Linked DNA regions of Nothobranchius furzeri. The protein of the gene in region 1 binds, or shares a complex with, the protein of each later gene. Links are inferred from orthologs where the notes say so. Each region holds a gene or a part of one and is shown on either strand. Other genes may lie near its edges. The genes, in order: dpm1 and dpm3.

Region 1 (4,622 bases):
AAAATTAAATAAAGATGTTTGATTTAAATAGTTTAAAAGATGTAAGTCAAACCAAGTGACTTTCATCTCACAATTATGTCTTTTTATTAATCAAATTCAGATTTTAGAGAAAAAAGTCAGAATGCTAAGACTTTTTTTCTTTTCAGTGACTCTAATCCTCTCCCATATGGAGAGTCTTGAGTTCTAGTATTGGTAAATGTTTTCATGCATGCACGCACGCGTGTGTGTACTGTTCTTATCCAGAAGATCCACATTATGGCCACCAGCCCTGGAGAAAACAAGCAGGCAGCAGTGACACCATGAGACACTGGTGGTCCTTTAGAGCAGAACTAAACAGAGATTACATCTGCAAAAGTGACCACTGGAGACCTTCATCATCTTGAACTAACCCTTGGATGATGCCGAAACTTTACCTTAAAAACTGTTCAACCATAAGGGGAATCTTGGTTTGTGTACTTTTTGTTTTAAAACTCCAAAGACAGGATTTTAAGTCCAGAAATGTTTTTGTATTAAGTACAGCTTTTGGTATTGATCAAAACAAAAATGCTGTTCCCAGAGGGATCAGTAAAGTACCTTATTGTTTAACAATCTAGCACTGAAATCGTGTATGTATACTTTGTTATGTTTATGCACTGTATTAAGGAAAAAGTCAAGCCTTTTGTGTCTTTTATGAATTTTATTTGCATTTTAACCTAAACTGCCTCAAAGATAAAGAATAAGTGTATTCCATGGTGTAAAATGTTCTTTTTATTCCATGGTATAAATGATACTGTGAGAATTTTGTTTTGTATAGTTTATATTTATTATTTGGCATATCCATTTTATTGTTATATACTATCTACTATGTATTCCAAGTAGTTATTTCTGTTTACAATTTTGTGGTTTCTTGGTGTTGGCATATGTGTTGAGAGTAAAAATGTCACGTTATCTCCAATGTTTTTGTGTATTTTTAAATAAAATGTTTATGAATTCGTTGTGTGTTAGTCTTTTGGAACATCACTATATTTATTGTGTTGTTTACATTTTTCTGTGTATTTCTTATGGTTTATTTATTTATTTAAAGACGTTTTCAAGGTAAGTGACCGCGCTGAAAACTGTTGTCGGAACCATGATGGAGGAATTGGTTTCTAGGTGTGTTTATTTTGGAAAGTACAACAGGAAGTTCAAATAAGCCAAGGCGATGTTCAAGACTAATTTCAGCGTAAACGTTCGCATTTTATGACAAACGTAATCCCGAAGAATACTGTCCTTCCACATACCCAGAAAGTGTTCAAGTACATGAGTGAAAAACACTTTTTCATTGATCTATAATAATTTATTTGTACAGCCCAAGTATTCCTCTGGTTAACTAGTTACTTGATTTAGACATTATTAAAATATATATATTATATAAATATTGAAATGTAGTATTACCACTGAGCCAAGTACAGTTGCTTACTTTTTGCAAAACTAGAATGACAATGTAAGTTGTGTGTGTGTGGGTGGTGGTGGTGGTGGGGGGGTCTTCCGACAGGACGAAATTCAAACTGACCTTTATTTTGAAATACGACAACAGGAAATTGTACAGCACTTCTTTTAACTTCTCAACTAGCTTATAGTATTTTGAGCTTTCGCGTCTGCTATGGCTAGTCGAAAATCTTCGCAACCAAAGCGAGAGAGCCGGGACAAATACTCTGTATTATTACCCACGTACAACGAAAGAGAAAACCTGCCTCTGATAGTGTGGCTTTTGTTGAAATATTTCGGAGAAGGGTGAGTTTTTTTAAGCGTGCAAAGATGCGTGGCTAATGATAACTCTTGTTAGCGTCTGCTAGCGATGAGTTGTCACTTGTGTCATCGACGCTGATTTGGTAGTAGAGACACATTAAATCTGGATTATACTGTTAATTTAGTAGTTGCCTTCTAAGACGCATTTTAAATTTTGTTCTGAGTTTTTATTCGTTTTATAATGCTGCAGAAACCGACGATTTCCAGTATTTTTTCTTTCATTATAAATGTAGGTGAAAACTAAGACCTGGATTTACTTATCCTGAAATAAATATAAAGAATAATTGTACACACACACACACACACATATATATATATATATATATATATATATATATATATATATATATATATATATATATACATGCATGCATGCATGTATATATATATGCATATATGCATATATATATATATATGTATATGTATGTGTATATATATTACATATATATGTATGTGTATATATATGTATATGTGTGTGTAACAGTTAATTGCGTCTTTAAAAGGTAACTTGAACGGATTCATCTCTTGTGATTACATTCCTAAAACGTTTGTGAAATAATATTTAATGTTTTTAATAAATGAATTAATAAATTGATAAATGAAAAATAATTTTTGTCATTTTAAGTGAAATAGTTTTTTATATGTCTAAAGATTGATTTACAGTAATCTCTGTCGGCATGATAGTAATGCTTATTTCTCACAGTGGATATGACTATGAGATTATTATCATTGATGACGGAAGCCCAGATGGGACACTGGAGGTTGCAGAGCAGTTGCAGAAAATTTACGGAAAGGACAAAATAGTAAGTTAAGACTGATCTCTCAGCATGAACAAGATAAATTCACATTAAAGTTGCACCACATATACTGTGTAAAATAATTAAAAAGTAATTTGTTTGTTTTTTTTATCACAAAACTTTACAGTGATAATCAACAGTCATTAATTGTTAAATCCTTCTAATTTTTCAGGTTCTGCGACCAAGGGAGAAAAAATTAGGCCTTGGTAAGTTGGTAAAATTATTGCATTTCCTTTATAAACATTACCAGTGGATGTAATCATCCCTTCATGTTTTAAAGGCACAGCCTACATCCATGGCATGAAGCATGCCACTGGGAACTTCATCATCATCATGGATGCAGATCTTTCCCATCACGTGAGTCGATGCACGAGTGTATTTGATGTATAAAATATCTTAGAAACAAGACATCTTTTGAGTATCTTGTCTGGAAAAACACAAATGGCTAGTAAAGTCCAATTGAGTATTTATTTATTTATTTATTTTGTTGCACTGCTGTGTATTTTATTCGTCTTTATTTTATTTCAGCCCAAGTTTATTCCTGAATTTATTGAGTAAGTATAATTGTTTTTTATGTTATGAGTTGGTGCGTTTATAAAGACTCGCAACATTTCTGATTATCAGGGTAACTTTCATCCATGTGTGACGAGTCGGATTATTCTAGCATGTTTTAGGTAAAGTATCGTATTTCATTCACAGAAAGCAGAAGGAAGGTGGTTATGACCTTGTGTCTGGTACTCGCTATCAGGGCAATGGAGGTGTCTACGGCTGGGACCTGCGCAGGAAACTCATCAGGTAACGGCCAGTGAGCAGAACTTGGTCACCAGTGTCCGCTCTCCTACGCTCGATGAAAACGAGATTTGTTTTTCTCTCCTGTGTCTTAGTCGAGGTGCTAACTTTTTGACTCAGGTTTTGTTGAGACCCGGCGCTTCGGACCTCACGGGCAGCTTCAGGTAACTGATGCAAGAGGTTTGAATCGTCATTGACTAGAAAACTGAACCGTTTCCTCACTTTTGTGCTTTTTTCCCTACGCTTTTGGAAGGTTATACAAGAAAAATGTGCTGGAGAGTCTGGTGGAGCGGTGTGTGTCTAAAGGTTACGTGTTCCAGATGGAGATGATCGTCCGAGCCAGACAGCTCAACTACACAATTGGAGAGGTGTTGACCTACCACGCTGTTGGGTTCTTTGAATATTTGTACTTTGTATGAGTTCTTCTCAACGTTTCCGCTGAAATTAAACTAAGGTTTATTTTCTCCTCGTCGTTCGCAGGTTCCTATTTCCTTTGTGGATCGGGTTTATGGAGAGTCAAAACTGGGAGGGAATGAGATCGTGTCATTTGTGAGAGGACTGCTCACACTCTTCGCCACGACGTGATCAGCGATGTTCAGAGCTTCTGGGAGCTTTTTTTTTTCCTCGTTCCACAAGTTTGTCTTTAAAACAGAAGTTTCACCAAATTAAAAACAAGAGAGAGACGTTCACCACTTTCTGTAATCATACGGTGACAGGACAACACAGGAGAAGGAAGGTGTTAGCAGTTAAAACTGTGGAAGATGTTCTTTTCTGTAGTTTTCAGAATGCTGAAGAAATGGTGATTCCCAAGTCTTGTCAATCCCATCGCAGAATGTTTCTGGAATTCTTTATTATTACAGTTTGCAAATGCATAAAAATAAACACGTTTTAATTGTAGACTCTTGTTTGTTTATTTTTAATTGATCCAATGGAAATTGTATGCGAATTTAAATGAACTCTTGACTTAAGAAACAGAAACCTGAGACTGATCACACCTGCCATATCCAAAAATTAGAAATTGACTCCATTTATATACTTGTAAGACTTTTAATGTCGGCATACATCAAATACCCAAAAATATCACGGACATGTCTGGATTATCCAGGAAGAAACACTTAAAGGATCTAAGATCTTTGGGAATCCACGTCTGCTATTAAAGGAAACATGCTAAAAGCTGTAGTTTAGAACATAATCTGGGTTTTTGTGTGAGAAGATGTCTGTATTTTTCATTTAATTGGAAACAAACCCTAGACACTTGTATTAAAACAT
Region 2 (3,124 bases), on another chromosome or scaffold:
TGTATTTTGGACCATGGGAGGAAACTGGAGCACCAGGAGAAAACTTAAGTAAACTCTACACAGAACAACCACAATCCAGCGCTGAAGCTGCAACCAACTGCTGTGCAATAACTCACTGCAAATCAGGATTCTATTTTCTTTAAAATATTTTAATAAAAGATCAAACATTCTCATGAATGCTCCTTAAAAAGTCATTGTTGAGTTCTGTTTAAGGAGCTTTCGCAGACTGGTTTCCACTGTCTCCAACAGAAGAAACACACTCTACCCCCACTGGCAGCCGTGCAGATTGTCATTCACACTATTAACACTAATGCTGACAAACATAAACACCACCATCCTAAGAATAACTCCCATTTTCCCTCAGAAGAATGATGTTTATTCCTGAGTGGCTACTTAGCGTGCCCCTTTCACCAGCTTGGTCAGTGTTGTTTACATCTCCTCCTGCTCCTGATTCCACCCTGGAGAAATCTGTGCCCTCTGCACCTGGTCAGTTCACCGCCGTAAATGAAAAGGCATGTGATGTAGAACTAACACAGAGACTGAGATCAAAGATCAAAGAGCCCCCCGTTTGTGCCTAAATTAAACTGTTTTTCAATTCCTCTCTTTGGAAAATACATAAATAGCTTTTAGCGATTGCTAATGGTATCTGATTTTGAAAATGGCTTTCCTAAATCATGAAAGGGATACTGAAAAAGCGTCAGAGGTCTAATATGTGTTAAAAGCTTGTCTGGGAAAGCTCATTAAAGACTCAGTCCAATTACAAACAGTGCTCTTTCTCACAGCTGACTGAATACTGGTCTTAATTCATCACGCTAGTGAAAACTGCACACAGCAGCAAGATCAATAGGGAAGTTTAAATAATTATCAGTCTGGCTGCTGTCATATCACTCCTCTCTGGGGGTCATTAGCTAGTCAAAGAGAGTTTATTTATGTGTTCATCATAAACTGAGTAACTGAATAAATAAGTGCAATTAACATAAATCACTTAATTTCTATGGTGCAACTGAAAGTCGTTTAAAGCTACCATACAGAAACATGAAAAGCTGTATTTTCTAATCAAATTAATGAAGCAGGGAATGTGTGGGGCCTACATTAATCTTGAGAAGAAGTTATAACACTGTCAGGTCCATCTAGCTCAATCCATTATCCATCTGTAGTCCCTTTAACTGCAAAAACAAATATGGAACGAAACCATGTATAACACTTTTAAAATAGTTTCATAAAATGCAAATTCTAATTTTGCAAATGTGAAAGAGTTCAATTATCTTATTTTAATTGAAAAATAAAAAATAATTTGTGTCTTTTGAAAGTTCAAAAATAAAAACAAGATCATTTATATACATTTAGGGAAAATAACACTGTTTAATAAAACGATTAATATAAATAAATGCATTGGAAATTAATGATTAGGCTAAATAAAATGAACAAGTGAATAAAAGATTTTCTTTAAAACTTATAAAAAATTGCTTATTTTATTTTTAGGTTATACAATAAATATAATTCAAAGTTTGTTTGAGTCAAATAAATCGGCTTTTAGCATCTTTTGAGTTGCTTTAACATTTCACTAGTCCTGCTACTACGTTTCCCACAAGGCATCGCGGACTGCAACGTCATTAATCTGCGCAGTGCTGAGGTGGTGTTTGAAAGAAGGTAAACATTCATGTTTATTTGGTCTTTAACGTGATTTAAATAGATGCTTTATATACTACCCTTTTATTTAGTTGCGTTCGCGTCTTTTCAACGAGTGTTTGGTTTATTTTCGTTTCTTGTCGTTTGTTTATTTCTGCGTATTTTAGCTCGATAAGCTAACAGGTTGCTAACACAGTTTTATCTCTCAGGTCGTTTCATAGAGCTTCCGTCATGACGAAACTGATGCAGTGGTTGCTCGGGGCGTCTCTGCTGGGGACAGTTTGGGCTTTGGTTACGTTTGACCTGTTGGAGCTGAGCCTCCCGCGGGTGTACCGGGAGATCGCCTGGCCGATGCCTCTCTACCTGCTGGTGACGTTCGGCTGCTACTCCCTGGCCACGGTGGGATTCCGGGTGGCCACCTTCAACGACTGCGACGAGGCAGCTCGAGAGCTCCAGGAGCAGATCACGGAAGCTAAAGAAGACCTCAGAAAAAAGGGCTTGAAGTTGTAGGACACAAAGACTCAACCCTGTAGAGACCGAGTAGTGAGGACATGTGTTTCACAGCTGGATGGATGAAACTGAACCATCTTCACTAAAATGTGGATAAGAAACTGTGTCACTTATGTTGACGCATCATTTCCAGTTTAATCCTGACAAATCTAATCCAGAGGCTCTTTGGGATTTCCCACGTGCTTTGAGTCAAGCTGATATGTGTTTGCATCGTGTGCATCTGGAGATGTAATGCCCGTACCTGCAGATGGATCCAGATTTAATCTGTAAAGACGTTTACATTCCTTTGTTCAATGCCTTTGAGGTGTTTCAGAAAAATTAATTAAATGGGAATTTATTTTCTAAATGGATTCCTGTTCTTGAGGTTCAGGTATGTCTGTGAAGCACCTTTGTGGCTTTACAAAGGGTTTCCTCTTCAAACGGGTCAGAACAAAGCCCTTTTGGGCTTGGCATTCTGCTTAACCTGTTGGGAGAAGACGGGCCTCTTTTTATCCAATTGTAAGTTTATGACACAAACTATGCATCATGTAATATTTCTCCAAATGCATTTGATTCTAAAAAATCAAATCTGCGTATGTAACTCTGAAGTAATCGATGTTGGCAGTTATATTTCTTTTACGAGCTGTAAAAGGCTGCCTTTGCGTATTTTTCACCAAGTCCCTGCTGTGTGTAAACAAAGCATAGCTTCACCAAAGGCATCATTACGGGGCATCAAACGATCTCATAACTTCTGAACAAATGCAAAAAGAGTTGGCAACTCTGCCTGTTAGGCTGCAGCTCCATCTTGCCTCGCAATGTCCCCCACCCCCACCCCACACACACCCACCCACTGAATCTGTGCAAGCTGTTGCTTGAGCAGACAGGATGAAACACAACTTACTTGAAAATCTTCTAATTTGGCAATTACACCAACAGCAGATCTGTTCCCACTTGCAGCCACATAAAGTTTTTAGTAAACTCTCAGTGTTTCTTTGATTCTCCACTA

What was found.
Region 2: dpm1 (region 1) and dpm3 share a complex: the UniProt entries of both Homo sapiens proteins name them as parts of the dolichol-phosphate mannose (DPM) synthase complex. The link is inferred for Nothobranchius furzeri from reciprocal best matches to the Homo sapiens genes DPM1 and DPM3.

The regions. Positions count from the first base shown.
Region 1 is NC_091755.1:48,132,245-48,136,866, reverse strand, and holds dpm1 (dolichol-phosphate mannosyltransferase subunit 1), read left to right. Parts: upstream 1-1,503; 5' UTR 1,504-1,621; coding exon 1,622-1,752; intron 1,753-2,470; coding exon 2,471-2,570; intron 2,571-2,736; coding exon 2,737-2,770; intron 2,771-2,844; coding exon 2,845-2,921; intron 2,922-3,092; coding exon 3,093-3,118; intron 3,119-3,263; coding exon 3,264-3,359; intron 3,360-3,448; coding exon 3,449-3,517; intron 3,518-3,606; coding exon 3,607-3,721; intron 3,722-3,833; coding exon 3,834-3,938; 3' UTR 3,939-4,250; downstream 4,251-4,622. UniProt on the Homo sapiens protein: Transfers mannose from GDP-mannose to dolichol monophosphate to form dolichol phosphate mannose (Dol-P-Man) which is the mannosyl donor in pathways leading to N-glycosylation, glycosyl phosphatidylinositol membrane anchoring, and O-mannosylation of proteins; catalytic subunit of the dolichol-phosphate mannose (DPM) synthase complex.
Region 2 is NC_091759.1:5,963,577-5,966,700, reverse strand, and holds dpm3 (dolichol-phosphate mannosyltransferase subunit 3), read left to right. Parts: upstream 1-1,592; 5' UTR 1,593-1,650; intron 1,651-1,838; 5' UTR 1,839-1,860; coding exon 1,861-2,139; 3' UTR 2,140-2,485; downstream 2,486-3,124. UniProt on the Homo sapiens protein: Stabilizer subunit of the dolichol-phosphate mannose (DPM) synthase complex; tethers catalytic subunit DPM1 to the endoplasmic reticulum.